Sus scrofa: one gene and its partners. The protein of the gene in region 1 purifies or fractionates together with the protein of each later gene. This does not show direct contact. Links are inferred from orthologs where the notes say so. Each region holds a gene or a part of one and is shown in the gene's direction. Other genes may lie near its edges.

What was found.
Region 2: the proteins of SAP30 (region 1) and SAP130 purify together in Homo sapiens (affinity purification with mass spectrometry; 4 studies listed by BioGRID and IntAct, with this or other methods). This does not show direct contact. The link is inferred for Sus scrofa from reciprocal best matches to the Homo sapiens genes SAP30 and SAP130.
Region 3: the proteins of SAP30 (region 1) and SIN3B purify together in Homo sapiens (affinity purification with mass spectrometry; 4 studies listed by BioGRID and IntAct, with this or other methods). This does not show direct contact. The link is inferred for Sus scrofa from reciprocal best matches to the Homo sapiens genes SAP30 and SIN3B.
Region 4: the proteins of SAP30 (region 1) and BRMS1 purify together in Homo sapiens (affinity purification with mass spectrometry; 3 studies listed by BioGRID and IntAct, with this or other methods). This does not show direct contact. The link is inferred for Sus scrofa from reciprocal best matches to the Homo sapiens genes SAP30 and BRMS1.
Region 5: the proteins of SAP30 (region 1) and RBBP7 purify together in Homo sapiens (affinity purification with mass spectrometry; 10 studies listed by BioGRID and IntAct, counting the BioPlex papers as one, with this or other methods). This does not show direct contact. The link is inferred for Sus scrofa from reciprocal best matches to the Homo sapiens genes SAP30 and RBBP7.
Region 6: the proteins of SAP30 (region 1) and SUDS3 purify together in Homo sapiens (affinity purification with mass spectrometry; 4 studies listed by BioGRID and IntAct, with this or other methods). This does not show direct contact. The link is inferred for Sus scrofa from reciprocal best matches to the Homo sapiens genes SAP30 and SUDS3.
Region 7: the proteins of SAP30 (region 1) and ARID4A purify together in Homo sapiens (affinity purification with mass spectrometry; 5 studies listed by BioGRID and IntAct, with this or other methods). This does not show direct contact. The link is inferred for Sus scrofa from reciprocal best matches to the Homo sapiens genes SAP30 and ARID4A.

Annotation. Positions count from the first base shown.
Region 1 is NC_010456.5:16,679,133-16,683,418, reverse strand, and holds the start of SAP30 (histone deacetylase complex subunit SAP30), read left to right. Parts: upstream 1-1,486; 5' UTR 1,487-1,795; coding exon 1,796-2,113; intron 2,114-3,656; coding exon 3,657-3,782; intron 3,783-4,286. UniProt on the Homo sapiens protein: Involved in the functional recruitment of the Sin3-histone deacetylase complex (HDAC) to a specific subset of N-CoR corepressor complexes. Capable of transcription repression by N-CoR.
Region 2 is NC_010457.5:59,386,810-59,390,309, forward strand, and holds part of SAP130 (histone deacetylase complex subunit SAP130), read left to right. Parts: intron 1-548; coding exon 549-907; intron 908-3,500. UniProt on the Homo sapiens protein: Acts as a transcriptional repressor. May function in the assembly and/or enzymatic activity of the mSin3A corepressor complex or in mediating interactions between the complex and other regulatory complexes.
Region 3 is NC_010444.4:60,788,861-60,792,996, reverse strand, and holds the start of SIN3B (paired amphipathic helix protein Sin3b), read left to right. Parts: upstream 1-1,336; 5' UTR 1,337-1,391; coding exon 1,392-1,499; intron 1,500-1,734; coding exon 1,735-1,841; intron 1,842-3,157; coding exon 3,158-3,311; intron 3,312-3,857; exon of another isoform or gene 3,858-3,922; intron 3,923-4,136.
Region 4 is NC_010444.4:6,044,771-6,048,876, forward strand, and holds the start of BRMS1 (breast cancer metastasis-suppressor 1), read left to right. Parts: upstream 1-1,306; 5' UTR 1,307-1,457; intron 1,458-4,106. UniProt on the Homo sapiens protein: Transcriptional repressor. Down-regulates transcription activation by NF-kappa-B by promoting the deacetylation of RELA at 'Lys-310'. Promotes HDAC1 binding to promoter regions.
Region 5 is NC_010461.5:13,296,150-13,299,520, reverse strand, and holds part of RBBP7 (histone-binding protein RBBP7), read left to right. Parts: coding exon 1-114; intron 115-226; coding exon 227-304; intron 305-871; coding exon 872-948; intron 949-2,239; coding exon 2,240-2,297; intron 2,298-3,371. UniProt on the Homo sapiens protein: Core histone-binding subunit that may target chromatin remodeling factors, histone acetyltransferases and histone deacetylases to their histone substrates in a manner that is regulated by nucleosomal DNA.
Region 6 is NC_010456.5:34,314,277-34,318,365, reverse strand, and holds the start of SUDS3 (sin3 histone deacetylase corepressor complex component SDS3), read left to right. Parts: upstream 1-1,289; 5' UTR 1,290-1,444; coding exon 1,445-1,580; intron 1,581-3,497; coding exon 3,498-3,567; intron 3,568-4,089.
Region 7 is NC_010443.5:187,430,354-187,433,853, forward strand, and holds part of ARID4A (AT-rich interactive domain-containing protein 4A), read left to right. Parts: intron 1-133; coding exon 134-384; intron 385-3,101; coding exon 3,102-3,299; intron 3,300-3,500.

The DNA of each region.
Region 1 (4,286 bases):
AGTCTTTGAAATCCTGCTTCTAGTTTTCACTTACCACACATCTCAGTTGAGATGCTAAATTCAGATTTCACAAAATTTTTAAGAAAAAAAAGATTCTTATCCAAGTTGTTCCTATTTAATAATTCTCTGATTACTGAAATCAGTATTAAATATTTAAATGAGGTAAAATTAACAATTCAGTTTTTCATTCACAAAAAACACAAGTGCTCAATATACACATAAGGCAAGCGGACACCCTACTGGACAGTGCAGCTGGAAAAGCTAACACCACTCAGTATCTTTCTTTTACCCACTCCATTTATTTATTTTTTCTTCCTTTCTTTACCCTAGGACAGAAGTGCACAGATGGACTGGATGGCTTTGAATTTCAGTGCAGATGACACTTTACATTTTAAATAACCATCTATAAATAAGTTCACTCCGTAAATATAAAAGAACTTTCAAAAAACCTAATCGCTTTCTATTTTTGTTTAAACAATGTAATTGTTAAACAGGATATACATACTGACAAATAATGAAGCGGTGCAACCAGCAAAGGTGCAGCTTTCGTACCAGCCTCTCCCATCCCTCCACCCCGACCTCCACAGACACGCGTCCACACGCACGCATACACACGCGTGCTCACGGAAGATGCGGCCCCTCCCACCCCATGCCCTTGGGGCAGGGCGAGTGCCGGCAGCCTCAGGAACGGTTAGACCAGCTCCCGGTTCCCCGGAAAAGAAAGCTGCCCCGTTAAGTCCACACGTCAGCAGCTCCACCTCTGGAGGCAGCGGACAGAGTGCACGTCCCTCGCAGGGACAATGCGAGGATTTGGCAGCGGCCTCTAGCCAGGCATTAGCGATGCGGCCGAGCGCGCGGAGAGGCGGGGTCACGGGGGTCGGGACCAGCGTTCCCCACCTCAGGCAGGCGCCCTAATGGACAATTTGGGGCGTCAGTTGGTGGAGATGCCCTCCAGATCCCTTGGTGTTAGCTGCGGGACCTGGAGGGCCCGGAAAACGCCAGGGCGCCCATCTTCCTTGGTTTGGGTTTCCCACAAAAACGGTATCACGGCAAAAACTTTTACCAGTGATACGAAAACGGCCCCAAAACTTTTTCCCACAGGCTCACTTCCCTCCCCTCCCACCCACGGCCCCTACGTTTTGTGCTACGCCTCCGGAGTTGAGTGACCTCTTCCTCTAGAATGCCAGCTCTGCAAAATCCTGGGAGCTAAACACAGCCTAACTTCCCGGGACAGACCAGAAGCCAGAAAACACAGCAACCCCCAACCACAAGTCCTTGTTTTCCCTGTGCTTTACACACAAAAAAGCCGGCCCGCCTCCGCGCGATGTATGCTGGGGTGAGTAGTCTCCCTAAACCGCGAAGCACTGGGTCATATTGGAGCTCGGGTTAACTCCCGGAAGGGGAACTACAATTCCCGTGGTGCCCTGCGGCAGAGTGGACGGGTTCGGGCTGGGCGAGGGCACAAAGCGCTTGCGCAAGTCGAGGACTGAAGAGAGGCGGAGGCGGAGGCGCCACGGTCCAACTGCTGAGGAGTCTCCATGTGACAGAGAGGGGTGTCCTAGCTCCAAACGACGCCCGACCGCGGTTCCCAACCACACACCTTGTGCCCTGTCCCGGCGCCAGCAGACAGCGGCAGGCCAGGGACCTCTGGTTTTGGGCGGAGGGCTCGGGCTCAGAGTGAATAGCTGCCGCCGCGCAGGTGTCTGAGGGACCGCTGAGACCCCGGCGTCTCCCGAGAGGCAAGCAGCGCGGCGAGCTGGGGCTTCTGTCAGCGCGGCGCCGCCAGCTCGGGGACATGAACGGCTTCACGCCAGAGGACATAAGCCGCGGCGGGGACGCAGCCGCTGCGGTGGCTGCCGTGGTCGCGGCCGCCGCCGCGGCCGCCGCCTCTGCAGGGAACGGGGCCGGAGCGGGCTCTGGAGCTGAGGTGCCCGGCGCCGGGGCGGTTTCGGTTGCGGGGCCCCCGGGGGCGGCCGGGCCGGGCCCCGGGCAGCTGTGTTGTTTGCGGGAGGACGGCGAGCGGTGCAGCCGGGCGGCGGGCAACGCCAGCTTCAGCAAGAGGATCCAGAAGAGCATCTCTCAGAAGAAGGTGAAGATCGAGCTGGATAAGAGCGTAAGTGGCGGCGGGACGGCCTGGCCTGGCTTGCCCTGCCCACCCTCTGGGCTCTCGGGAGCGGAGCCGACGCCAGGCGGGTAGGGGTGCAGGGGCCCAGAAGGGCGCAGCGCGAGCCGGTTCCGGGATCCTTAGTAGGAAGCAAACAACAAAGTGCTTCAGCCGGGACGGCAGCCCGAGCGGCACACTTGCGCGGCGGACCCGCTCCCCTCCTCCCCCGCCGAGGTAGGGGAGCGGAACAAAGAGGGCAGCTGCGCTGAGGCCCAGAGTAGTTTTCCCATAGCCCGGTAGCTCCTTCTGGAACCAGGTGTCTTTGTTCGGCTGCCCGAACTGGCGGCTGGCCCCGGGGAGTAGCTCCCGGTCTAGGGAAAGTGGAGTCCTGCCAGGACTGACGCCGCGGGCGAGGAGATCCAGTTCCTCGTCCCCCGCGCCGGGAGCCGGGCGCTCAGTGTCAGCATCTAGGGCCGCTGCTATCGACATGCGGAGCACGCAGCCTCCGCGGTTTTACCCTCGGTTTGGCAGCCATCAGGGTTTCTTTTTTCGTCCTTGTGCGGATCTGTTCTTTTGACCACCTATGAGGTTTTTATAAACAACCATTTCCACTTTTCGGAGCTTGAGCCGGCAGTATAAATAACAAGACGTCAGAACTAGCACACGTCCTGCATATTTTTAACTTGCACTTAGCTCAGAGGTTAATTTGAAAGCCTATTAGTTCTGCTTTCAATTATTTTTTTAAGGAGTAACTGTTAATGTACGACACCCAGTATTTCAGATGTTACTATACAGCTCTCAGGACAATGTAATAAAGTCTTTTTTGAAAAGTTTATTTGGGATATTTTCTGCGTGTTCTAACAGTTCCTTAGTCGTGTTCATGAGAACCTTTTCAGGTATACTTGTGTAATTTCACATTGCTTTGGTTGGAAAAACGTATCACAGACAAGTGCATTTACTTAATACTCAGAAAAATTTATGATTTAAATTTATCTAGAAAAAAATAAATTTATCTAGGGTATGAAATCAGTAGCTTATTTGTAAAAATGTGTAGTTTGTATCTGGATGATAATGTATTAAATTAGAAAAATTAGGAAGCATAGTTACGGTATTAACGATTTTTAAGTAGAGAAATATTATCAAATAGCAACATTGTGAACAATATCAATTTTCCATTGTTAAAAAAAACAGCATGACCTCACTAATCTAGTATACCATGGCTACTGTTTGATGACAGAATCATGAGGGTTGACATTTCTCTTTCCTTTGCATCTCTCTTAACCTTACAGGCACCCCTCTCCCCCCCACGTCTCCCACTCCCGCTCCACTCCCAGTCCTTTTAACAATATTACCAGACCATGGTATGGGTGGTATGTTTTAACTGGGTGCAGGACTTAAAAGAGTAGAAAAAAACAGTTCAGATTATCTTAACAGTGGCCTCTTTGGGCTGTTGTTTTTATTTTTGATAATTCACTGTGAATTATGCATTTTGCCAACACGTAGACACATTTTACGGCCATCATAAGTAGTCTCTGAAACTTTTCTGTTTCAGGCAAGACATCTTTACATTTGTGATTATCATAAAAACTTAATTCAGAGCGTTCGAAACAGAAGAAAGAGAAAAGGGAGTGATGATGATGGAGGAGATTCACCTGTTCAAGATATTGATACTCCAGAGGTAGATGAAAGTTTTGTATGTTAAATATAAAGCTTAAGTACTCCACTCTGAAAAATTTTATTTTAAAAATGAACAGATTTTTAAAAATACTTCAAGGACTTACCATTGTGGCTCAGTGGTTAGTGAATCTGGCTAGGAACCATGAGGTTGCACGTTCCATCCCTGGCCTTGCTCAGTGGGTTAAGGATCTGGCGATGCTGTGAGCTGTGGTGTAGGTCACAGAGGCAGCTCAGATCCTGCATTGCTGTGGCTCTGGCGTAGGCCGGCGGCTACAGCTTTGAATAGACCCCTAGTCTGGGAACCTCCATATGCTGTGGGAGCGGTCCCAGAAAAAAAATCAAAAAGACAAAATAATAATAATATTTCAAGCATTTGAACAGTCTGAAAATTGAAAACAAATTTAGCCAGTTAAATTAACAACTCTCATAGCTTTTTTGTCTTATAAGTTCTAAATTTTTTTAAAATTATTTTTTAATTTTTATTACAGCCTCACCTGTGGCATAT
Region 2 (3,500 bases), on another chromosome or scaffold:
TGGGTGAGGCCAGGGATTGAACCCCCATCCTCATGGTTCCTGGTCAGATTTGTTTTCACTGCACCACAACAGGAACTCCAAGGTGGAGATAATTTTAAAACTTGAATTCCTTTTCAAAGTTACCTTTAAGTTCATTTTTAAAATCAAGGATTATGGAGTTCCCATTGTGGTGCAGCGGAAATGAAGCCAACTAGGAACCATGAGGTTGTGGGTTCGATCCCTGGCCTTGCTTAATGGGTTAAGGATCTGGCATTTCCATGAGCTGTGGTGTAGGTCACAGACGCGGCTCAGATCCCACATTGCTGTGGCTGTGGCATAGGCTGGCAGCTGCAGCTCCAAGTTCGACCCCTAACCTGGGAACCTCTGTATGCCACAGGTGTGGCCCTAAAAAGCAAAAAATAAATTAATTATTTAATTTAGTTAAATCAAGGAATAGAGTTTTAGTTGTGCTGTTTGTTGTACAAAAACAATTGCACAAATAACTAATTTTCTGTGATGCTCCAAAGTTTGTTCTTGCTTTCTACATCATCTTTGCTTTTGTATTTCAGTGCCAAACCCAAGTCAGAAATCCATGTATCTATGGCCACTCCAGTCACTGTGTCAATGGAGACCATATCCAATCAAAATACTGATCAGCCCACCATCGCAGTCCCACCCACCGCCCAGCAGCCTCCACCAACCATTCCAACCATGATTACAGCAGCTAGCCCCCCATCACAACCAGCCGTCGCCCTTCCAACCATTCCTGGAGCAGTTCCCATCACTCCACCCATCACTACCATTGCAGCTGCCCCTCCACCATCAGCAGCAGTAGGTGGCAGTCTCTCCTCCGTTTTGGGCCCTCCTGTTCCTGAAATAAAAGTTAAAGAAGAAGTGGAACCAATGGACATCATGAGACCGGTTTCCGGTAAGTTCATTATCAGAATACTCTTAATTGGCAATTGCTTCTTCCCCATTCTCTAAATCTCCTGAGTCCAAACTCTTGTGTGACCCTCAGGCAGGAAGCCTGACTCCTTGATGCCCATTTTATACTTGTATTTTATTAGTTTTTAATAAATAGAAGAAGCATAAAGTGCCTTTTGAAAACTAAAACCATTTTGCTGCCCTTTTATAATTAATTTTCTTACCAAAATCATGAAAAAGATTATTATTTCCCTAAGAATATCTTTACGCATAGCCTCTTGTACTCATTAAGAAAATGTTGCCATGTTGGAGTTCCCGTTGCGGCACAGCAGAAACGAATCTGACTAGGAACCATGAGGTTGTGGGTTTGATCCCTGGCCTCACTCAGTGGGTTAAGGATCCAGCATTGCCGTGAGCTGTGGTGTAGGTTGCAGACACAGCTCAGATCTGGCATTGCTATATGACTGTGGTGTAGGCCAGCAGCTGCAGCTCCGACTAGACCCCTAGCCTGGGAACCTTCATATGCCGCAGGCATGGCCCTAAAAAGACAAAAAAAAGAAAAAGGAAAAGAAAATACTGCCATGTAAAAAGGGATCACAATGTGATTATAGCAGAGGGGTAAGTAATTTACAATTTATCCCCTGACAATTTTTGTTGCCATGTATGTGCAATAAAGTAAAATTTGTATTGTTGAAAATAGTTCTAAACTTATTTGTGATTAGTTAAATCTTAAAACTAAGATTTAACTACCATTACCCCTTTTCTTTCTTCCTAGCTCTAAACTTTTAGTTTGTAAAAGGCAGGTCACTTTGGAGGTTTTCTTTTCATTTGTTTTGTTTTCTGTTTTTTTAACAATTTATTATGGAATCTTAATTTTTCCTGACTATGAATGTAACATTCAGTGTATGATACTGATGAAACACAGACAAAACCAAAGTGGAAAGTAAGTAACTTGGTGCTGTAGTTACCACATATCACCCTCTTACCATTTTGGCATGACGGCCCCCATCTCTTGCTGTCCTTTTAGTTAAGAGGTGTGGCCATGCTATGTCTACAGCTGTTAAACCTGCCACAGAAAAAAAGAAGAAAAAACGAGTTCCCATTGTGGCTCAGTGGGTTAAGAATCCAGCTAGTATCCACAAGGTTTCCCACGTTGCTTGGATCCCGTGTTGTTGTGGCTGTGGTGTAGACCGGCAGGTGCAGCTCCAGTTTGATCCCTAGCCTGGGAACTTCCATGTACCACAAGTGCAGCCCTGAAAAGGAAACCTGCTATGTATTTATTTCCTTATTTATTGTCATTAATCATACCATGAAGTACCCTTCCGTGGTACCCATGTTTAGCCTCAGCAATTCCGTTGAAAGACGTGCATAAACCCTGGAGGGGAAATAAAATAGTCTCGATCTTGCTGTCCATCTCTCTCATTGTTCTGGATAGTTCCTCTTACCCTTCTGTACCAGGAGGCTGGCAGTAGTCATTCCTCACACTGTGAAGGGCGTGGCACCAGACATGCACGATACAAGCTTGTTCAAAACAAGCACGTCGCCATCCTCTTAGAGCTTACATTATAGCAAGGACAATAGACAGTAAAATAAAGCAGGGACAAAGTATAAGGGAAAATTAGGGCTAGAGCTGTGATTTTTAAAAGTGTTTTAAAGGGAAGGCCTTACTTGAGGAAATGGTCTCTGAGTAGAGACATTAAAGAGATGAAATGCTGGCCACGAGGATATATAGATAAAAAGCAGTTCAGACCAAGAGAGCAGTAAATGTAAAAGCCAAAGATAGGAACATGCCTCGCGTGCTCAAAGAATAGCAAAGAGGCAGTGTTAGATGAGCTGAGTGAGTAAGGGCAGTGGGAGAAACAGGTCAGGATTGTGAGAGCCTTGGACCTCTGTAAGGACTTTGACTTTGCTAAGGGCGGTGGGGAGCTATTAGACGGGTTCTGAGCAGAGAAGGGAGTTGAGCTCAGTTATAACAGACCAGTCGCTGCCCTGTGGGGAAAGACTGTGGGAACAAGGGTCACCTTAGGGGGACATGTTCAGAGGCTGGTGCATTAATTTCAGGAGGCAGTGAAGGTTTCAACCAGGGTAGCAGTCACGTGGTATGAAGTGGTGACAGTCTAGATAGACTGTTGGTGTGGAACGGAGAGGACTTCTTCAAAGATTGGATGTTGTAAGTGAGAGACTGGCGTCAGAGGCAACGATAAAGGTTTTGGTCGTAGTAACTGGAAACATAGAGGTGCCGCTTGCTGAGACAGGAGAGGGTGCAGGGACTCTGTTGTATAGGGAGAGGTTAGGAGTTGGTTTTTGCTGTGGTGAGTGGGAGGCCTCTGTTAGACCTCAGATGGACACATCAGGTAGGCAGTTGGATCTGTGAGCCTAGCTTTTGGAAGAAAATTAAGTTGCAAATAGAAATTGGGAAGTTGTCCTTGTATTTATGAATTATGTTTAAATCCATGAGCCTGGATAAGCTCACCTGAGGAATGAGCGCTGATAAGAAACTAGCAGTTGTGAACTGAGCCCTGGGGCAGTGCACCATTTTGAGGAGGGAGAGGAGGCAGAGCCAGCAAAGGAGACTCAATGCAGGGGCCAGAGGAGAG
Region 3 (4,136 bases), on another chromosome or scaffold:
AACCTACACCACAGCCTTAGCAACTCAAGATCCAAGCTGCATCTGTGACCTACACCACAGCTCACAGCAATGCCAGATCCTTAACCCACTGAGTGAGGCCAGGGATCGAACCCAAAACCTCATGGTTCCTAGTTGGATTCATTTCCACTGTGCCATGACAGGAATTCCCAATAACTATTATATTTGTATGTTCTCTCTGAAGTATTTGTTACAAGTGAGCTTTACATCTATGTATGTGATTATTTGATTCCAATCCTCTTGAAAGGCTGATGGCTCTGTGAGTGTAAAAGCCTGGTCGGTTTTGTTCACCCTTCTACTCCTGACCCCTGGCAAATGATGCACTTGTTGCCAATGTATTCTCAGCTTTCCTGCACCTCTTCACACATTGAAAAAAAAGATACTGGAGTTCCCATTGTGGCTCAGTGGTTAATGAATCCGAACATGAGGTTGTGGGTTTGATCCCTAGCCTTGCTCAGTGGGTAAGGAGCTGGTGTTGCCATGAGCTGTGGTGTAGGTCACAGACGCGGCTTGGATCTGGCATTGCTGTGACTCTGGCGTAGGCCAGCAGCTGCAGCTCCAATTAGACCCCTAGCCTGGGAACCTCCCTATGCTGCGGGTGCGGCCCTAAAAAGACAAAAGACAAAAAAAGAAAAAGAAATAGGAAGACCTTGGAGGTTTGGAAGCAGCTATGGAATGATAGTTCTTGATAGCACTGGGGCTGGAAAAACTGGTTAAGAGGCTCCCGAACCAGTGGGAGGGTCCAGTGGGGAAGTGATAGGGTCAGGAACCAAAGGCTCCAGTGGGGAAGTCATGGGGTCAGGACTAGAGAAGCGAAGAGAGGAGGAACAGGACTAAGTCAAGAGCAATTTGGCAAACCCCGTGGCCCTGAACTAGGGTGCTGTGTGCCCATACCAGGTTGTCACATCAACCCTACAAGTACGAGTCAAGAACATTTTATTATATATCAGGCTGTGTAGATCTTAGCGTCTGTCGCAGTTATTCACCCCGCTGTTGTACTGCAAAATTAGCCAGAGATGACAGGTAAACAAGTGGGCATGCCTATGTTCCAATAAAACTTTATTTTTGCAGACACTGAAATTTAAATTTCATAGAATTTTCACGTGTCACGGAATAGTCTTCTCCCTTGGATTTTTCTTCCAACTTTTAAAATTGTAAAAATTATTCCGATCTTGCTTTGGGGGCCAGACAGAAGCAGGCGGCAGGTTTTGGTTTGCTCACAGTGGTATATGTCAGGACAGTCGCGTTTCAGTTTTATGGGGTAAGATCCTACCGCAGAGTCCTTGAAAGAGCCCCGCCTTCAGGGCGGAGCCAGCGCATGCGCGGCCGGCCCCCGGGCGGGGGCGGGGCGGGCTGTGGCTCCGACTTCCAACATGGCGCACGCTGGCGGTGGCGGCGGCGGCGGCCCAGCGGGCCGGGGGCTGAGCGGGGCCCGCTGGGGTCGCTCGGGCTCTGCGGGCCATGAGAAGCTGCCAGTGCACGTGAGTGGCGCCCCAGCTCTCCCTCGAGCACCCCGTCGTCCAGTTCCCGCAGGCCGGCGCCCCCCACCCAAGCCCCGCCCGGCCCCGGCCCCGCCTCGGCCTCCTCTCCGCGCAGCCCCAGACCCCCGACTCCCCACCTCCGCTCCTTGAGGCCCAGCCGGTTGCCCCTCCCGCCAGGGTCCCCCGCCCCCTCCTCCGCAGACCGCGGCCCACCTGGACTTTCCCCTCCCCGCAGGTGGAGGACGCCCTCACCTACCTGGACCAGGTGAAGATCCGTTTCGGCAGCGACCCTGCCACTTACAACGGCTTCCTGGAGATCATGAAGGAATTCAAAAGCCAGAGGTACCTGCCGGGCCCCTGCCCACCCCAGGGGACCGTCCTGGGCCGCAGTCAGCCTGAGCTGGGTGGGAGCCCCTTACCCTGGCTGCCCCATGACGGGGTGACCTTGCCCAGGTGGTCAGAACTTAGCGGATCCTCAGTTCCTTCTTAAAAAAAAAAAAAAACTGGGACGGGAGGGACCCCCCGGGAGGGACCCCCCCCCCTTCACCCGCCCCGCCGTGGCCCTGTTGTGGGGATTCCTGGACCGAGGGCAGGGATGGGGTGAGGCAAGTGAGCAAACACAGGGTAGGATCCCGTCTTTACTCAAAATGTTGATTTTTAAGTGAATTTCATTTTTCGAGGCTTTTTAAAAGTTAATTTTTATCTTTTGATCAAGCAGTGCATGAAAATGTTATTAATTTTGGTTATCGACCGTATTGGCACTGTGTCCCTCTTAAATCTTATCCCCAAGGTGAGTTCCTCACTCCCTTCACTCCAGTCCCAGGCCTACTTGAAGTAATGCGCACAAAATGCTTAGTAAGGAATCTGGCACTAAGAAGGCATTTAAAACATGTTAGCTGTTTTCACAGGCACTGAATCAGGAGGGTTAGAGATAGATGGGAGACCTCCCTCCCGATGGTGCTCTTGTTGGAAAGGATGCTCATTGAGGCTTAGAGTGGGTCAAGGGGTTGTCCAGACCCACCTTAGGGGCAGAGGCGGGACCAGAACTGGTTCTGTCTGACTTAGATTCGCCAGTGTCACATCCCCTCCGTGCTGCTTCTCCCTCTAAGGAAACAGGGTAGGGCCCACCTGGTTGCCTTCCACAGGCACAAGGCTAAAGCCTTGGCCCTGACTGCAGCCCTGAGGGAGACCCCATCTCTGCCCTCCGATTCTTATGCCACTTCCATACTTGCATGGCCTTTGCATTATAGTCAGTTGCTGGGAACAACTCCAGTGTCATAGTCCATCTCTAATTCATGCGAAATGGAGGAATTTATCTCCCCTTTAGAGGGTTTTGACATGTCACTTCTTGGAGCCCACAATTTAAAATTGGCTCTCCTGACATTTTCAGAACCTAGCACATGTGCTTGCAGTGTTTTGGGAGCCGTGCTGTGTACATATTCTGTGGATTTTGCCAGGAAGGCACTGGGAGCCCAGGCCTGGCTGCCTTAGCAGCGGATCACCACCAGCAGAATCACTCCAGTCACATTTTAGGGTGGTTGGTTCTTTGTCCGTTGAGAAGCTTGTGACATGGCACGGTTAAGGGAGTCACGAGTAGATTTCTCTTTTAATCTGCTCCCCAGGACGCCTCTGCCCACTCTTGTTCTTCTTTGTTCTAGTATCGATACTCCAGGAGTCATCCGGCGAGTGTCACAGCTATTCCACGAACACCCTGACCTCATTGTCGGATTCAACGCTTTCCTTCCTCTCGGCTACAGAATAGACATTCCCAAGAATGGCAAGTTAAACATACAGTCGCCTCTGTCGAGCCAGGTATGCGGCTGCCGTGGTTTGAATGATCTGACCTTAGCACAGCCCACCCTGGTACGCAGGCCGGGCAGCGTGTCTCGTGTACTTCATTGCTAGAAAGGTGGTGAAGATCTGGTCTTTTTCCTGAAATGCTTCTAACGCAAATCAAAATAGATCAAAACACCTACCCAGGCAGGCTCTGCATCCCAAATTGATCCTTTTGGCAGATTTAAATCAGGAGTGGATGTGTTTGTGCGTGCCAGGGAGGCATTCTTCTAACACAGTTTTATGTCCAGTCAAGATAATTGTGTCCACAGTCACTGAAGTCTTGGTTGGAGGTTCTTCCTCTGAGTGCCTTAGGCAGGCCTCACTTGTACTTGGGCCTGTGGCCCCTTCTGATCACCCTCAGTGCCACCCACAAAATAAAAGCAGCAGAGGTGCATGTGTGACTAGCCATTTTTGTTGCTGTGCTTCATTTACCTGCTGACAGGATCATTGACTGAGCTCAGGCTTGTGGCTTTGGTCCCTTCTTTCTTAAATGACAGCTTGCTGCCTCTTCTGTCTCTGCAGTCCCTCCTTGCTTGAGCTCACCAGACTCCCTGAGAAAAAGCCTGTTTGAGCTTTACTTTTCTAAGGTAACCATTGTCTTTTTCTCTCCTCGACCCTGTTGCCGTGTAAGGCATAACACTTTGCTGTGGGGGTGTTGTCCAGGGCATCATGGAGTGTTTAGCAGTGTCCCTGGCCTCCACCCACTAGATCCCCACCCAGTCAAGACAGCTAAAAATGTCTCCAGACATAGCCAAGTGTCTCCTGCGGGCAAAATTACTGCGTTGAGAACCACTGGTGTAA
Region 4 (4,106 bases), on another chromosome or scaffold:
GCCCTGGATGGAAAGGAGCCAGTGAGGCAGGAGGGATCATAGTTTAGGAGGTGGCTGGATGGCTGAAAGATCCAGGATGCCTCCAGAGGAATGGGCATGCTGGAGTGAGCAGTGATGTCCGTCTCTGGCCTGGGAACCTCATCAAACTTTGCTGACCTATTTCTCCCTCCACAGGCTTGTGAGTTGCACGTGGCAGGATTCGATTTTGAGGTGCTGAACGAAGGTTTCCTGGTTCATAAAGGCTTCAAAGAAGCTTTGAAATTCCACCCCCAAAAGGAGGCCGAAAATCAGCACAATAAGATCCTTTACCGTCAGTTCAAGCAGGAGTTGAAGGCCAAGTACCCCGACTCCCCACGTCACTGCTGAGCCCTTCCTTCCCCTAGTCTGAGAAGTCTCAGCCTCCTCCCTCCTTAGGCCGCCCCTCAGGCCTGACTGGGGTAAGAAACGTCACTCCACTTTACAGTGGTAGCTGTGGTGTTTGAACACTGGACTTGAATATGGGGTGCTGGGATCAAGTCCTAGCTTAACCACTAACTAGCTGTGTGGCCTTGAGCAAATCCCGTTCTCTCTCTGAGCCTCAGTTACCCCGTCTGTAAAAGGGAGGTGAGAATACCTACCTCACAGAACTGCTGGGAGGCTCAGATGAGATGCTATATGTGAAAACATTCTGTAAGCTTCGTACAAATGTGAAGTATTATTAATATTATTACAGTATTATTATTGTTGTTATTATTATTGTTATTATTATTAACAATCTTGGGTGGGTGAGCAGTAGGAGAGCAAAAAGTATGAATGGGGGCAGAGCTGAGAAGTCTGAGTAGTTAACAAAATGGGCTTTTTGGAAAGAAATCAGATGAAGGCGTTGAATTTAGTTCTTAGCTTTTGGGCAGAAGCCGAAACTTCCTGGTGTCTTAGGCCTCCGTCCCGGGGGCTCTAGAGAAGGGAAGGATCTGCAGGTTCTGTGCGTCTGAGATCTGTACCCTTGAATAGCCTGGGCTGGGTGATTTGCCTACCGACTACAATGTGTAAATAAATGAGTGTTCACACCTACAGCTGGCTCCATTACTCTCCGGAACCGGGCGGGGGTGGGGGCCGCGGGTCGCAGGTTCTCCCCTTTCGCGCCGCCGGGAGGTGACTGTGGACCCAGACGCGAGGGCTGCAAAGCTAGGAAGGCACAAGGGCCTTTCCTGCATGCTGAAAGCCTGTGTGAATGTCGGTCCGTTGCCATGGAAACCGTCCCGCGGTATCCCAGCATGCCTCGCCCCAGCTATCCAATTGTGAGCACTCCGATGGGCGCCTCCTGATGACGCATGCGGAAAGCGCGGGTAGGCCCCGCCCCCGGAGAAGAGGGACCGGTGCGGCGCTTCCGGGACCCCCACAGCGGCAGCCAGTACCGATAACCTCCGGCACCTCTTGGGGAATCTAAGACGTGAGGCTGGAAGCGCCACTACCTACGGGTGCGTAACGCCAACCCTGGCGCCTGGTTTGCCCTTTCGGACAGGCAGTCGGAGCCTGCCCAATATCCAGGGCGGTAGCGAGACTTAACCGCCCGGACGCGAGCTGGGGCCGCGGGACCGAGGAGCCAGTGACTCTCCCGCCCGCTCCGCCGCGTACGGAGATGGAGCGGGGCGCGAGGCTCTGGGTGCGCCGTGGAGGGACTGGGTCGGCTTCTTCGAGGGTGGGGAAGAATCTTCCTTCCTACGAGGCGTGCCCTTGACATGCTCGCTTTCTGAAAAGATAAATTGCATGTGCACAGCACCTTATAGTTTGCTTTTCGATCCCTTACCTCTTGCCATCTTTACAACACCCAGAGTAGTGATGGTTATCCTCATTTTGTACCCGGGCTAAAGTGGGGAGGATGTGATTTAATTTGGCTCTCTCAGTAGACCCAGAGACTGGTGGAGAGAGACCTCCCCCCAAGCCCCGCCCTCTCTGGTCCAGAAAGGTGGGACTTACCCCGAGTTGTTAAAATATATTTAACAGTGAAGAGAAATTGCAAAGTTTGGGAACTCCAGGAACTGAGGCTTGAAAAAGGGAAAGAGGAGGCTGATTTGGAGAACCGAGGTTTTCAGCTCAGGTTCAGATCATTTGTGAAATCCTTGAGGAATGCTTTGAAACGGCCCTCTAGGCCAGTCAGTTTACTCAAACTGATGTCAAGGAAAGGTGACAAAACACTTTGGGTTTGCTACCACTGTAGGGACCAGGGGCTACTAAGAAAGCCATTTCCTGCCCTGCAAAAATGTGTTTTGTTTAATTTGCATTCGCAAATCCTCCAGTGGTCTAGTGAGTCAGTACTGCGCGGGGTGGGTAAAGCGCGTGTGCAGCCCTGCCCTGGGGAGGCTCACAGACAGGCATGAGGATGGGCAACAGACGTGGAAATAAATAAGGAGGGGCATCTACGCGGATCTGAAGGACTACAAAGTACCCAGAGGAAAACATCCGGTGAAGTAGAAACCCCTTTAGTCAGAAATGATCTATTGAGACTGTTTAGTCTTCCTCTTGGGCGATCTTTTGGCAGCATTTGGCACTGTCTCATCTCCTTCATTCTGAAATTCTCTCTCTCCCCCTATACTCTGACTTTTTCCTCCTCTGTCTCTTGCTAATTTCCTTCTCCTTTCCTGGCATCTTGTCATCTGCCCCTTTGATGACCCTAGAAGTTCCATCATGAACTCCTTCTCACTCCACACATTCTGCCTTGCTGGTTGCACCCTCTCCCAAGGCCTGAAGAACTCACGATGTGATGACCAGATCTCTGCAGCCCACATTTCTCTGTGAGGCTTAGACCCATGGACCCCCAGCCCTGCCCCCTTCTCTCCTCTTGGGGTGTTTGCACCTGCTACTCACTCTACTTAGAATGCACCCTCTCTTGACCAGCTCAGCTCATCTGTCTGGCCCATCTTCCTCTGCAGGCCCTCACTGCTGCAGCAGGCTCCAGGTCCCAGTTAGATGCCTCTCCCGTAAGCCCCTGGTCTTAACTCTTCTCACCCCACAGCAACAGTCTGTTTCTTAGCCTTTCTGTCCCAGGAACTTGTAAACTCCTTGAGGTCAGAGACTGTCGCACCTGTGCCCAGCTCCTACCATAGTGTCTGCTGCTACCTAGCATGTATTAGATCTTCAGTAAATATTAAATGAGTGACTAAAAGAAGGAATGCTTAAGACTGTTCAGTTTGCTGAGAAGTCAACCTAAGATAAGCACCAAAAAATACTGGCATTAGGTACGAGGAGTTCGTCAGTTAACTCTACAGGATGGGCTTCAGCTGAGAGTGATGATACAGGAACAGAACAAGTGGGAGGTGGGCGAGTAGGAATAGCAAGTGTCCACAAGGCCTTGAAAAGTAGCCATGAGGTGGAAAACGGCGAGCAGTGGGGTGGGGTGAGGTTTTGTGTTTCTGCTTTCTCTCTCTGGTGGTAGATACCTGAGCACGTCTGACGTTCTCTGGGAGGAGCTGTCAGGAGCGAGAGTTGAAGATGCATAAGGGAGAGGGCAGCACTGAGGACATGAGATCATGAAGGAAGCAGGAGATAGGATTTGAGCCCAGTGAGAACACAAGCATCGTAGAGTGTTCTCAGGAAGAGAAGTGGAGGGCGGTGTAGGCAGAAGAATAGCACAGGAGTTCCCGTCGTGGCGCAGCAGAAAGGAATCTGACTGGGAACCATGAGGTTTCGGGTTCAATCCCTGGTCTCGCTCAGTGGGTTAAGGATCCAGCATTGCCGTGAGCTGTGGTGTAGGTCGCAGACGCAGCTTGGATCTGGCGTTGCTGTAGCTGTGGTGTAGGCCAACGTCTACAGCTCCAATTGGACCCCTGGCCTGGGAATCTCCATATGCTGCGAATATGGCTCTAAAAAGACCAAAAAAAGAAAAAAAGAAAGAAAGAATAGCGCCGTGGGCGTTAGGGCTGGTGGGGAAGTGCGTGGTATATTTGAGAACTGGCCAGCAGATGGTGGGGTGAAGGAGCTGGACCGGTGATTCAAGTCCAGTCTGTGCAGGGCCTTGGAAGCCCGGATCAGAAGTTTGGGCCCAGGAGTTCCCATTGTGGCTCAGCAGTAACAAACCTGACGAGTCTCCATGAGGATGTGGGTTCACTCCCTGGCCTCGTTCAGTGGGT
Region 5 (3,371 bases), on another chromosome or scaffold:
TCCAATACCACCTCCAAGCCGAGCCACCTGGTGGATGCACACACCGCCGAGGTCAATTGCCTGTCGTTCAATCCCTACAGCGAGTTCATTCTCGCCACTGGCTCTGCGGATAAGGTTTCTCAATTTTTGCATACTTGGTATTTTATGAACGCCCTTGTCTTGTCCTGTAACACCTGAACTTTCTTACGTAACGTGAAGAAACGAATTCCTTTTTATTGTTCTTCAGACTGTAGCTTTATGGGACCTGCGTAATTTAAAATTGAAACTCCATACCTTCGAATCTCATAAAGATGAAATTTTCCAGGTAAGTGACAGTTTTCTGGTGTTTGTGTCAGATTTTCATAACTTTTTGGTAGAGGGAAATTAAAAAAGATTTCTCCTTTTATACGGTCAGCATAGAACACGGTGTTTTATTTTTTAAGCTCCTCTTCCACTATATAAATGGGAAATAATGTGGAGGTTTTTTAGAAACTATTAGTTCAGAGGTAGAAGAAAAATCTTGCAAAACAGGATCCATTGAAAAAATGAAATCCAAGAATTCTTCCTTGAAGGTATGTCAGCATAGTGGGTTCTCTAGTGAAAAAATACCTTGTATATGGTTGAAAATTGAGATTTTCACTTCATTGAAAGATTTTGAAGCTTCTGGGGTGGTTTTGGGGCCGAATAAGTGTGTTGGACCCTTAGCTGAGTTTCCCTGTGTTTTGGAGAGATGGGCCACTTTGAGTGCCTGAAAGGATAGGACAAGGAGGGTGAGGGCCTGTAGGCCAAGGCGAGGCTACCGTGCACGAAATGGGAACATACCCAGGATTAGAACAAAATCCACCAACTTTGGAATGGATGAGTCTTTACATTTGCAAATGTAAACTTGCAGGTCCACTGGTCTCCACATAATGAAACTATTCTGGCTTCAAGTGGTACTGATCGCCGTCTGAACGTGTGGGATTTAAGGTAACTCAGAATCTCGTGACAAGAAATTGCATAAATATGCTAATCTGGCAGGTTATGTAATAATTCATAAACTAGCAGAGCAATTTGCTAACCCCATTAATAAGTCTAAAAGTAATTTTAAGTGCCTTCCTGAAGAGTCTTTGTTCCATAAAATAGAAGCGAATCAGCATTGGTCTGTAAAATAAATGTATGCCAACGTGAGTTTTGTGTCTCTGTGCCTACTCAGGCCTGACGTTGGGGTACGGGGTGGCGGGGGGTGTGACATCCGTATGTTGGGTTTCACAACCCGCTTGCTGTGGAAAGAAAGCGTAAAGGCGTCGGCGCCTCCTGTTTCATTGGATCTCACGTCCACCTGCAGCACTGGTCTCCGTTTTTCTCCCGTTTGCTGTTCTGTGCTTTCGTTGACTGTTTTCTCAGGGATGAACCCGGGCTGTGGGTTGTGTAAGTGCTGAGGATGAACTGGGACGCCAGCACAGCCCATGCTGCCAGAGAGGTCATGTTCTTTTGGGGACTCACCGTGGTCCCAACTCTCAATTCCCTGACTACAGAGTTGCTATTCTAAGAATTTCAGACGCCTTTGGGGTTTTTTTAGCCTTTAGAGCCATAGATGATGTTGCACAGTTCCGTACATTCCCCCAAGATGTTCTTATCTCAAGTTCACATCATGAAAATGCCGAAAGTAACTTCATTCCTACCTGTGTTGCTTTGACTTTGCTTTGACATGGACTAAGTTTTTAGTCCAGATTGCCTTCATTATCGAGACAGGAGGCCCCCTCTTCAGTGTACGGAACAGAGACACTGAGGAGAAAATGTTTGTATGTAAAAATTCTAAACAGCCAATGTTCCATGTTCTTATGGCCATGATAGATGCTGGGAAATGTAGAGAATCTTTAAAACAAGCATTTCAGTATATTCTTTTTCATTTGAAAACAATTTTAGTAGTAAAATTAGAAACCTAAAACAAGGAGTTCCCATTGCGGCTCAGTGCTAATGAACCCACCTCATATCCATGAGGATGTAGGTTCGATCCCTGGCCTCGCTCAGTGGGTTAAGGATCCGGTGTTGCTATGAGCTGTGGTGGAGGTCGCAGAAGTGGCTCAGATCCCGTGTTGCAGGCCAGTGGCTACAGCTCCAGTTCAACTCCCAGTCTGGGAACCTCCACATGCTGTGGGTGCGGCCCTAAAAAGCAAAAATAAAGAAAGAATAAGATGTGATGTCTGGGCTGATGCTGGCTTTGCAAATACTCCTGCTATAAGAACTTCAGTAACGAAGGCATGTTCTTTCTTAATAGCAAAATTGGAGAAGAACAGTCGGCAGAAGACGCAGAAGATGGGCCTCCAGAACTCCTGGTGTGTACTGGCTTTCCTCATACAAGATGAAATGTCATGTGGACATTGGCCTGTTTATCATTGTTTCGCATCTCTGGAAAATGAGTCAAAAACCTCAAATTTCACCTCTTAAAGATGATTTCAAATTGGAAGCGCTAGAGGTTATCGTGATAGGGTTTTGGCGTTTATTAAAAATAGTAAATAGAGCCCAGTGGATTTTTACCAATATTTCAGTGAGAAGAATTTAGGCTCCTGGCAAATAGTGTATAGTAATTTCTCCCTGGTTCTCAGTAATAATGTTTCTGAGGGTTTAGTGGGGCGGGGCTTTGATGCTGTTAGCAGGACTTAACACTTTCTCACAGTGTGAAAAAACGGTATGACCTGACTTGTAAGTTCCTTGCTCAGAAAAATGAATGCTTCCCCGATCTTTCACCTGTTCCTAATTAAATTATTTTGGCATCTCCTCAGCCCTTTGAAGGTTTACGAGGTGGTATCTGTCCTGTCCTGTCCTTCTGTCTCAGTCCTTCGTTGTACACTTGAAGTCCCTTTTCTGGGAAGCGTTGCCAGTCGTTTGGCAGAATCGCTTGTTCCTCTGTTCCGCGTACTTAGCTCTTAGACCAGTACGAATTCGCTTTGTACACTTGGGCTTTGCCCACCACTTGTAAAGAAGGCTGTCGAGGGTGAGCCCTGCTCGCAGAAGAGGCTTGCTAAAGCCGGCGCACTGTGCCCATCGGGGAGCCTCTGCTCCTGTCCGCTGTTCCCATGCCCTGCAGCACTGGATTGTGGCAAAGACACACCAGCGTATTTCGTGTTAACATAGTGCTGCAGTTTTTTTTTACTTTAGTAATACCTTTATTGATGAATATTTGGCAGGACATACAACGAACTGTTTTTAGAGTAAACACTGCCGTGGTTTTTAGTAGTTCATAGAGTTGGACAGCCATCACAAGTCTGTTTTAGAACATTTTTGTCCCCTTGTAAAGAAAGTGTGCCCTTTACCTCTTGGCCCCCAGGCTTCTCCTTTCACCAGCCCCTGGCCACCTCTGATCTACTTTCTGTCTCTAGATGTACCTGTTCTAGACATTTCATATGAAA
Region 6 (4,089 bases), about 18 Mb from region 1:
AGTAAGGAGTGGGGTTACTTTGGACAAACCATTAAACATCTCTGGGCCCTTCTATCGCTTTTCTTGCTACACCCAAATAGACAAGAGACATCCTTAATTTTTTCACTAAGCAAGTGTCTCCTACTCAGAGGTAATCAGATAAACTGATTCATGCAGATATTCAACGCGCTTGTTTTCTAAATTACCAGCAAGCACCTTCCTGTCTTAGCCTAATTAACTTTCTGCAGGCAAATACTCCACTTGCTCAACTGAGAGTTGAGTTAGCAAATTATTGCATTGGGGAAAGCTACCTTTTAAAAAAAATTCATATTCTAAGAAATATGAGGCAGCTGTACTGTAGAGGGCCTGGGTCTGAGAGTTAGACACAAGGTAGCCTTGTACAATACCATTTTTTGTTTTTAAGACAAGAGGTAGCTCTTTTCTCATCTGTAAAATCAGGAGAACATCGTAGTGAACCAACCTGTACAAACAGAAGGGATGCCCATTGACTGGGAAAATACTGGGTTTTGCTGACCCCAGGATGGAATACTAACATCTTTTTAAATTTTATTTTATTTTTTTTTGCTTTTTAGGGCCACACCCTCAGCATATGGTGGTTCCCAAGATAGCGGTTGAATCAGAGTTACAGCTGCTGACCTATGGCACAACTCGGGATGAAAACTGCATCTGCGGCCTACACCACAGCAATACAGGATCCTTAACCCACGGAGCGAGGCCAGGAATCGAACGCACAACTTCACGGTTCTCTAGTCGGATTCGCATTCGTTTCCGCTGCGCCCCAAGGGGAATTTAGTATCTTCTTTATTTAAGTTCTTAGTAAAGCTCCAATTAGACAGGCGAGGAGCCAGGCTCTTTTTCTTGGGTTGAGCACGCAAACTCTGTTAAGGTTTCCTGGATGGTTCATGTTGTTCACCTGTTTAAATTTGAGACCACCTCCACCTGCAAAGAGCCCTTTAGTCTCTGCTTTCCAAAGTCCCTAAAGATCACCTCTTTAGATTTGGCTCCAGGCGCCGCCTGGCGGCTATTTCCGGAAGTGGCCGCTGAGCTTCGGGGTCCTAGCCGCGGTGGGGCCTGGCCAAGGATTTGCCTAACCCCAGAGAGCCTGTCTCCGCCCCTCCCCCCACCCGTGGAGGATTTTTAAGACGGCAATGAAGGAGATGGGGCTAAGGCGAAGGGGATGTTCATCTGCCTTTCCATTCCCTCTAGGATGGCGGAATCAGGCGGTCCTCGGGCAGGTCGCGACCCGGAAGTCGCCGCTGGCGCGAGGCCCCCGTTGCCCGGAGCAGGCGCGAGGGGCGGAGTTTGGCGAAGACAGCGAAGGGGTCGCCGCGGCTCCCGCTCTACGGGTCGGCGGCTCCCTCGGGCGCTGCTGGGCAGACGTGGAGTCCGCAGGGCGGGTGACCGCGGTCCCCAGCTGGCACGCTCGACTGCGGGTAGAGTCGACATGAGTGCTGCGGGACTGCTGGCTCCAGCCCCGGCTGGAGCGCCGCCGGCTCCGGAGTACTACCCTGAGGAGGACGAAGAGCTGGAGAGCGCCGAGGACGACGAGCGCAGCTGCCGGGGCCGCGAGTCCGACGAAGGTAGGACCCAGCCCGTTGGATGGGCTACCCAGGGCCGGGGTGGGCGGCAGTGCGAGGGGGTGGGGCTGCCCGGGGGGGGCGGGGCCACCTCTGGGGCTTGGGGGCGCCTGTAGGGGCAGCTGGGAGGAGAGCGGGTCCCGGAAGTTACTGCGACAGGTCCCAGGGAAGGGGAAGCTTTGAGGACTTGTATATACAGTTTTGCCGAGAAGGGCCGTAAGGAACTGTTGTCAGAGTTGTAGGCCCCTTTAAGATTCTGCTCCTCTTCTCCCAACTGTCTCTGAACCTTAGGTCTAAACTGGTTTTAAGGACAAAGTCATTGATTGGATGAACTGAGTGTACTCTTTTTAGTTCCTGAGAGGATCAGAGTAAAGCCCAGTTTGGCTTCCTTGGTTCCCAGGGTGCACCCCCCTCCCCTCCCCGCTGCCGCCGTCCGGAAATGCCTAAGTCAGCCCTTCTTGGGTTAGTGCGGTACAGGTGGGTTCAGAGAAGGAAACCTGGAATCAGCCAGATCGAATTAGGTCTAAATTTGGCTCACTGAACCCAGCGTAGTGATATTAGACAATTTACTTAGGCTTCTGAGCTTCAGTTTCCCCAACTGCAATGGGGCTGACTTCCTGGTGCGATTATTAAATGAGATACAGGCATAGAGCACTTGACCTAGTCCTGGGTAAATACTCAGGTGTCTTCACCATTGGGGAAACCCGTACAGGGGGCAGGAGATAGAGATTTGCTTGGTGATGGCTCAGGTGGTGTTTTCAGTTCCAAACTCTTTACCTTAGTTTTACTGACTCTCAGAGCCTGGCTTTTCAAACTGGGCTTTATAGTTTGGCATGTGTGAGGAACACTTTTTGAGGAGTTGAGGAAGGAGTTGGCTGCAGTAGGAGAAAGGGGAAGAAACATAAAAGGACAAGAGAGAAGAAAGAAAGATAAAGAGAGACCAACATGTGGGTGAAATATTCTGGCACAAAATAGGCCTTGGAGCAAAAGCTTAGACCAGCTGTCTGGAATCTGGAGCATGTTTTATTCATCTCTCTTCCCCAAGTGCCAAGTACTGTGGCTGGTGCACATCAGCTCAGTGATGGCTTCTTCACTGTAGGGAGAGAAAAGGGTAGGTGGAGGATTGGATCTGCAACAGCCTTTTTAAAAAAAGGCAACTGTATGTGGAGATACAAAGTTGAAGGAATTAATTACAATGTGGTTAAACTAAGAAGACAAGGTTTTACTAGAGATTTTGGCTGTGAATCACTTGTACTGTTTTTAATGCCCACAAGGTGGAGTAGCCAGGCAAAATTTGATCCCTTACCCTCCCACCCCAAGTAGGGCTTTTGAAATTATGTCGACACTCCAGCCATTTGCTTATTATAAAAATAATGTTTAGAGTATTCTGAAGCAGTGTCTGATCTTCTTATCTCATTCCTTCTCTCTTTGAAAATATTTTGGTTATTGGAGTTCATTTAGTTGGTTCCCATTTTCCTTTGTACATATGATGTAAAATCTTCTAGGGGTTCAGACTGGGCATATACCAGTAGAGAATGTACATAGTAGGTTGTTTTGGAGTAGAGCACACGGCTTGCTGCCTGTAGTTTTCCAGTCTTAATACCACATCTCCTTTTCCTGAACTGCCAGTGATGTTTCTGCCCAAGGAGCAGCCTTGACCATGACCAGCTGTGTCTGATGCCCCCTGTTTTCTGGCTGAACTTCAGATAAAGGCATCCTCTTTAAATTTGGCTGTGTATAAGTTGGAAATGGCGTTTTTTTCTGAAGTAACTGGATGTAATGTTTTTCACTGATGTCTTCATCCAGGCCTGCATTGAGAAGAAACTCATTTTATAGAAGTTTATGAAATGTCTCTTGTCAGGTGATACCAACTCTATGAATTATGATTGTAACAAACTTTTCTTCTATAATTTTACTTAGACACTGAGGATGCTAGTGAAACTGACCTGGCAAAGCATGATGAGGAAGACTATGTAGAAATGAAGGAACAGTGAGTATGATATTTACATTTCTTCTTTGGAACACAGGATTGACAAGGACACTTTTTTTTTGTTTTTTAAGTTTTAATTTTAATTTTTATTTATTTTATTTTTTTTTTGGCCATTTCTTGGGCCGCTCCCTCGGCATATGGAGGTTCCCAGGCTTGGCGTCAAATCGGAGCTGTAGCCACCAACCTACACCAGAGCCACAGCAACGCCGAGCAAGGCCAGGGATCGAACCCGCAACCTCATGGTTCCTAGTCGGATTTGTTAACCACTGAGCCACAACGGGAACTCCTAATTTTCATTTTTTTAAATTGAAATATAGTTGAGTTAAATGTTGTATTAACAGGGCCTCTTTAATAGTGACCTTGTGTGAACTGTTGTCACATAGTGTTTCCAGAGACCATGTGTATGTGTGTAGTTTCTCCCCTTGAAATTTGTCGCATTTAATCAGTCTTCCTGTGATAAGAATCTTTTGAAGGTAGGCTAGAAAGAACCTGGGAGGGAAATGATCCCAGGGGTAACAGGAG
Region 7 (3,500 bases), on another chromosome or scaffold:
GGGTTGTCAGTGTCATGTCCCAGCCAGAGAAAAGACTAGTCCTTGCTGTGAAGGTTTAAGAAAAGGATACATTCTTCTACTTCTTCCCTCTTTGGTAGTGACAGTTATTTTAAAGCTTTTATCCACCTTTTAGGGACGACGGAGAATTGCTCGAGATGCAAATTCTATTAAAAAGGAAATTGAGGAAGAGAAAACAGAAGACAAATTAAAAGATAATGATACAGAAAATAAGGATGTAGATGATGACTGTGAAACTGCAGAGAAAAAAGAAAATGAGCTGCTACTGGGGAGAAAAAATACACCAAAGCAAAAGGAGAAGAAAATTAAAAAGCAGGAGGATTCTGACAAAGACTCAGAAGAAGAGGAAGAGAAAAGCCAAGAGAGGTACATTATCTTATATTTGTTCTCCAGAAGCACCTGTTTGGGGCACAGCAGTGCTCTGTTCCTGCTTAGAGATTCAGGTTTGAGGGAATGTTTTCTTCTTGGGACTTCCGTTCCTCTTGTCTAATGAAGGTGAGACACATTATGAAGATGATGTGTATTGCCTTATGGAATTGGAGAATATACTGGTCGCACCATTTTAATAGCACTTGTGCCCCAAACAGTGGCCTCAAAGAAGGCTGCGCCACCCAGTCAAAAGAAAGGTCCTGCAGTTGACAGCAGGGAAGGGAGCTGGAGAAAAATGGAGGAAGTGGACAAGAGGAAACAGCGACAGCAAAAATTCCATTTTAAAAAAGGTACAATGTGGGAAAGCTAACAAGCACATGGGTGCACAGTACTAGCAGATGTTTCTGTGTGTTAGCTTTATCTAAGATATTTTTCTTTTTCAAGTTACTGTATTAGAATAAGTGGCATGCACCCCTGATTCTAGTTTGGAAAATACATTCTTTCCCCACATCACAATTAAATTTTGGCTTTTTAATGTCCATCCTGTTTGCTGTTGAGTGAAAACTGATTGGTTTTGTTTTTTTTTTCTCCCATGTATTATACATGTATGGACTGAACTGACTTAAAAATAACCAAAGATTAGGCAGGCCAGCTAGATCAAAGTAATGTCCAACTGTGTTCAGTTGGCCATTTCTGTGTTGCCACATGGATTTACTAATTTTTAGAGACTACTAAAAAATGAATTTTAATTCACAACAACAGCATAACACACTTACTTGTATAGAAGCTCTCCTCTATGGTTATTTTTTGACTATTTGATGGTAAATTTTCTAGAAATTTGAGTTGTTAAAGCAAAATTGGGGAAAGTGGCCTGCTGCCTCCAACTAGTGGCTGACACTCATCTGAAAATTAACCATTGAGAACGTAATTGGAAAAATAGGAATGATTGGTGAGTGGGAGATGTAATTTTATGATTCATTACAGAAAGGTGCAGGAGCTATCACAATTACATGTGAATTAGATTAGTGAATAAAGAAAGTTTTGTAGTGAAATATGATTAGGATTAGGGAAGGTGGGAGGAAATAATTGGAGTTGAGTATAATAATATGAGTGTGGTATTTTAAATATTTGGACAATGAATTTATGCAAAGGTAAACCACTGAAAAAGGCCTAATTATAGTTTGAAGATTTGTTAAAAATAAGCATCACAATGTGTCTATTTTATAATATCTCTATAATACATAAAACATGTAATATACACATATAAACACATGATGTGGTTTAAAAAGCCTTAATATGGGAATTCCCATCGTGGCGCAGTGGTTAACAAATCCGACTAGGAACCATGAGGTTTCGGGTTCGATCCCTGGCCTTGCTCAGTGGGTTAGGGATCCAGCGTTGCCGTGAGCTGTGGTGTGTAGGTCACAGACGTGGCTCGGATCCCCTGATGCTATGGCTCTGGCATAGGCTGGAGGCTACAACTCCGATTCAACCCCTAGCCTGGGAACCTCCATATGTCGCAGGAGTGGCCCTAGAAAAGGCAAAAAGAAAAAAAAAAAAAAATCCTTAATATGTAAATAAAACAAGTATTTTAGAGACAAAAAAAGTCCTATACTTGACATTTCATTAAAAATTCCCATTTCTTTTTATTAAATAAAAATTGAATATACAAATATAGTCTGTATTTTCATTCAATAGCAGGAATCATGGAAATGGGAAACTTTTTTATCTTTAGAGATTTGTGATTTAAGTAGTTTCTTCTGGTGTTTTGAAATTACCTTATCAGGATATAATTGGAAGGTGCCCCTGGAAAGAAAACATTCCCACTGCTAATGGGTTGTTGAAATTTCTTCATGTTGGGACCCCCAGTGGTCCCTAAAGAATGCCCTATGCTTGTCATAGAGCACAGTACTTCCTCTTAAGCCTGTAAAACTCTAGAATGACCTTTGATGCAGATCTCTTCTGAATCCTTGCAGGGCTAATAAAGAATGTTTTATTTGTAAAAATACTGTTGGACCTCCCTGTGTGAGTCTCCTTTATACCTGATTATCAAAACATGGAAAAACTGATGGGAGACATGTAAAAACAAATGGAAACCAACAGGATATGCAAAGCTTTGTTCCCCTGGTGCTATTATCCCATGGTTCTTAACCAGTGACTAATATGCAAATAGCTATTGTTTCTTTGTTAGGATGGGGAAAACTTTAAAATATAAACTAGTTTAAAAGATGGAGTTAGCCCTTGCTCCCTATTTTGCCCAGCAAAAATCTAGTCTTAGTTGAAAACCATTCTGAATTGAGCAGAAAGTAAATAGTAAAGGAGATTTTAATTGCAGAAAGTTACAAACTATCTTTAGATCATTTTCACATATAAGGTGGCACTTGAGTATGAATCCTAAAAACTTTTACAAAGCATGTCATTCTTATTTTATAAAAAGTGATTTGACCCTGCATCACATTAACTGTGATTATTGACTGGCCTTTAAGAAATATGGATTGACTTTTGGCACAGTGCACCTTTACATAATAAATAAATTCTTTAGTAAGTAGTCTATAAAAATCTTCTCCTTCTCCTCCTTCTTCTCCTCCTCCACTGACATGTTATTAAGGTGACACTTAGGTTGTGACTCTTGTACATGTTGGATTCTTTTAGCATAGTTATATTCTTTTCCATTAAGTTATTAGTATTATTATCAATGTTATAATTTGCCGCAGGGAAGAAACTGAAAGCAAATGTGACTCTGAAGGGGAGGAAGATGAGGAAGACACAGAACCCTGCCTAACAGGAACCAAAGTGAAAGTAAAATATGGACGAGGAAAAACACAGAAAATCTATGAAGCCAGTATTAAAAGCACTGAAATTGACGATGGAGAAGTTTTATATTTGGTACATTACTATGGATGGAACGTCAGGTAAGCAGGAAATGTCTTTTCTTTTTTGAAATTTCTTTCGTTGATTCAAAAAGATCAGTTTACTCTTTTGACGAACTAAATCAAACAGTATATATGTATTTATAAAGCACCCCTTCTATCTGGGTTTTCCAAGATGTCTAACATTCTCACTGTTTTACTAGCTATGTCAGTTCTTTCAGCCAGAGGTTACCAGGTTCACAT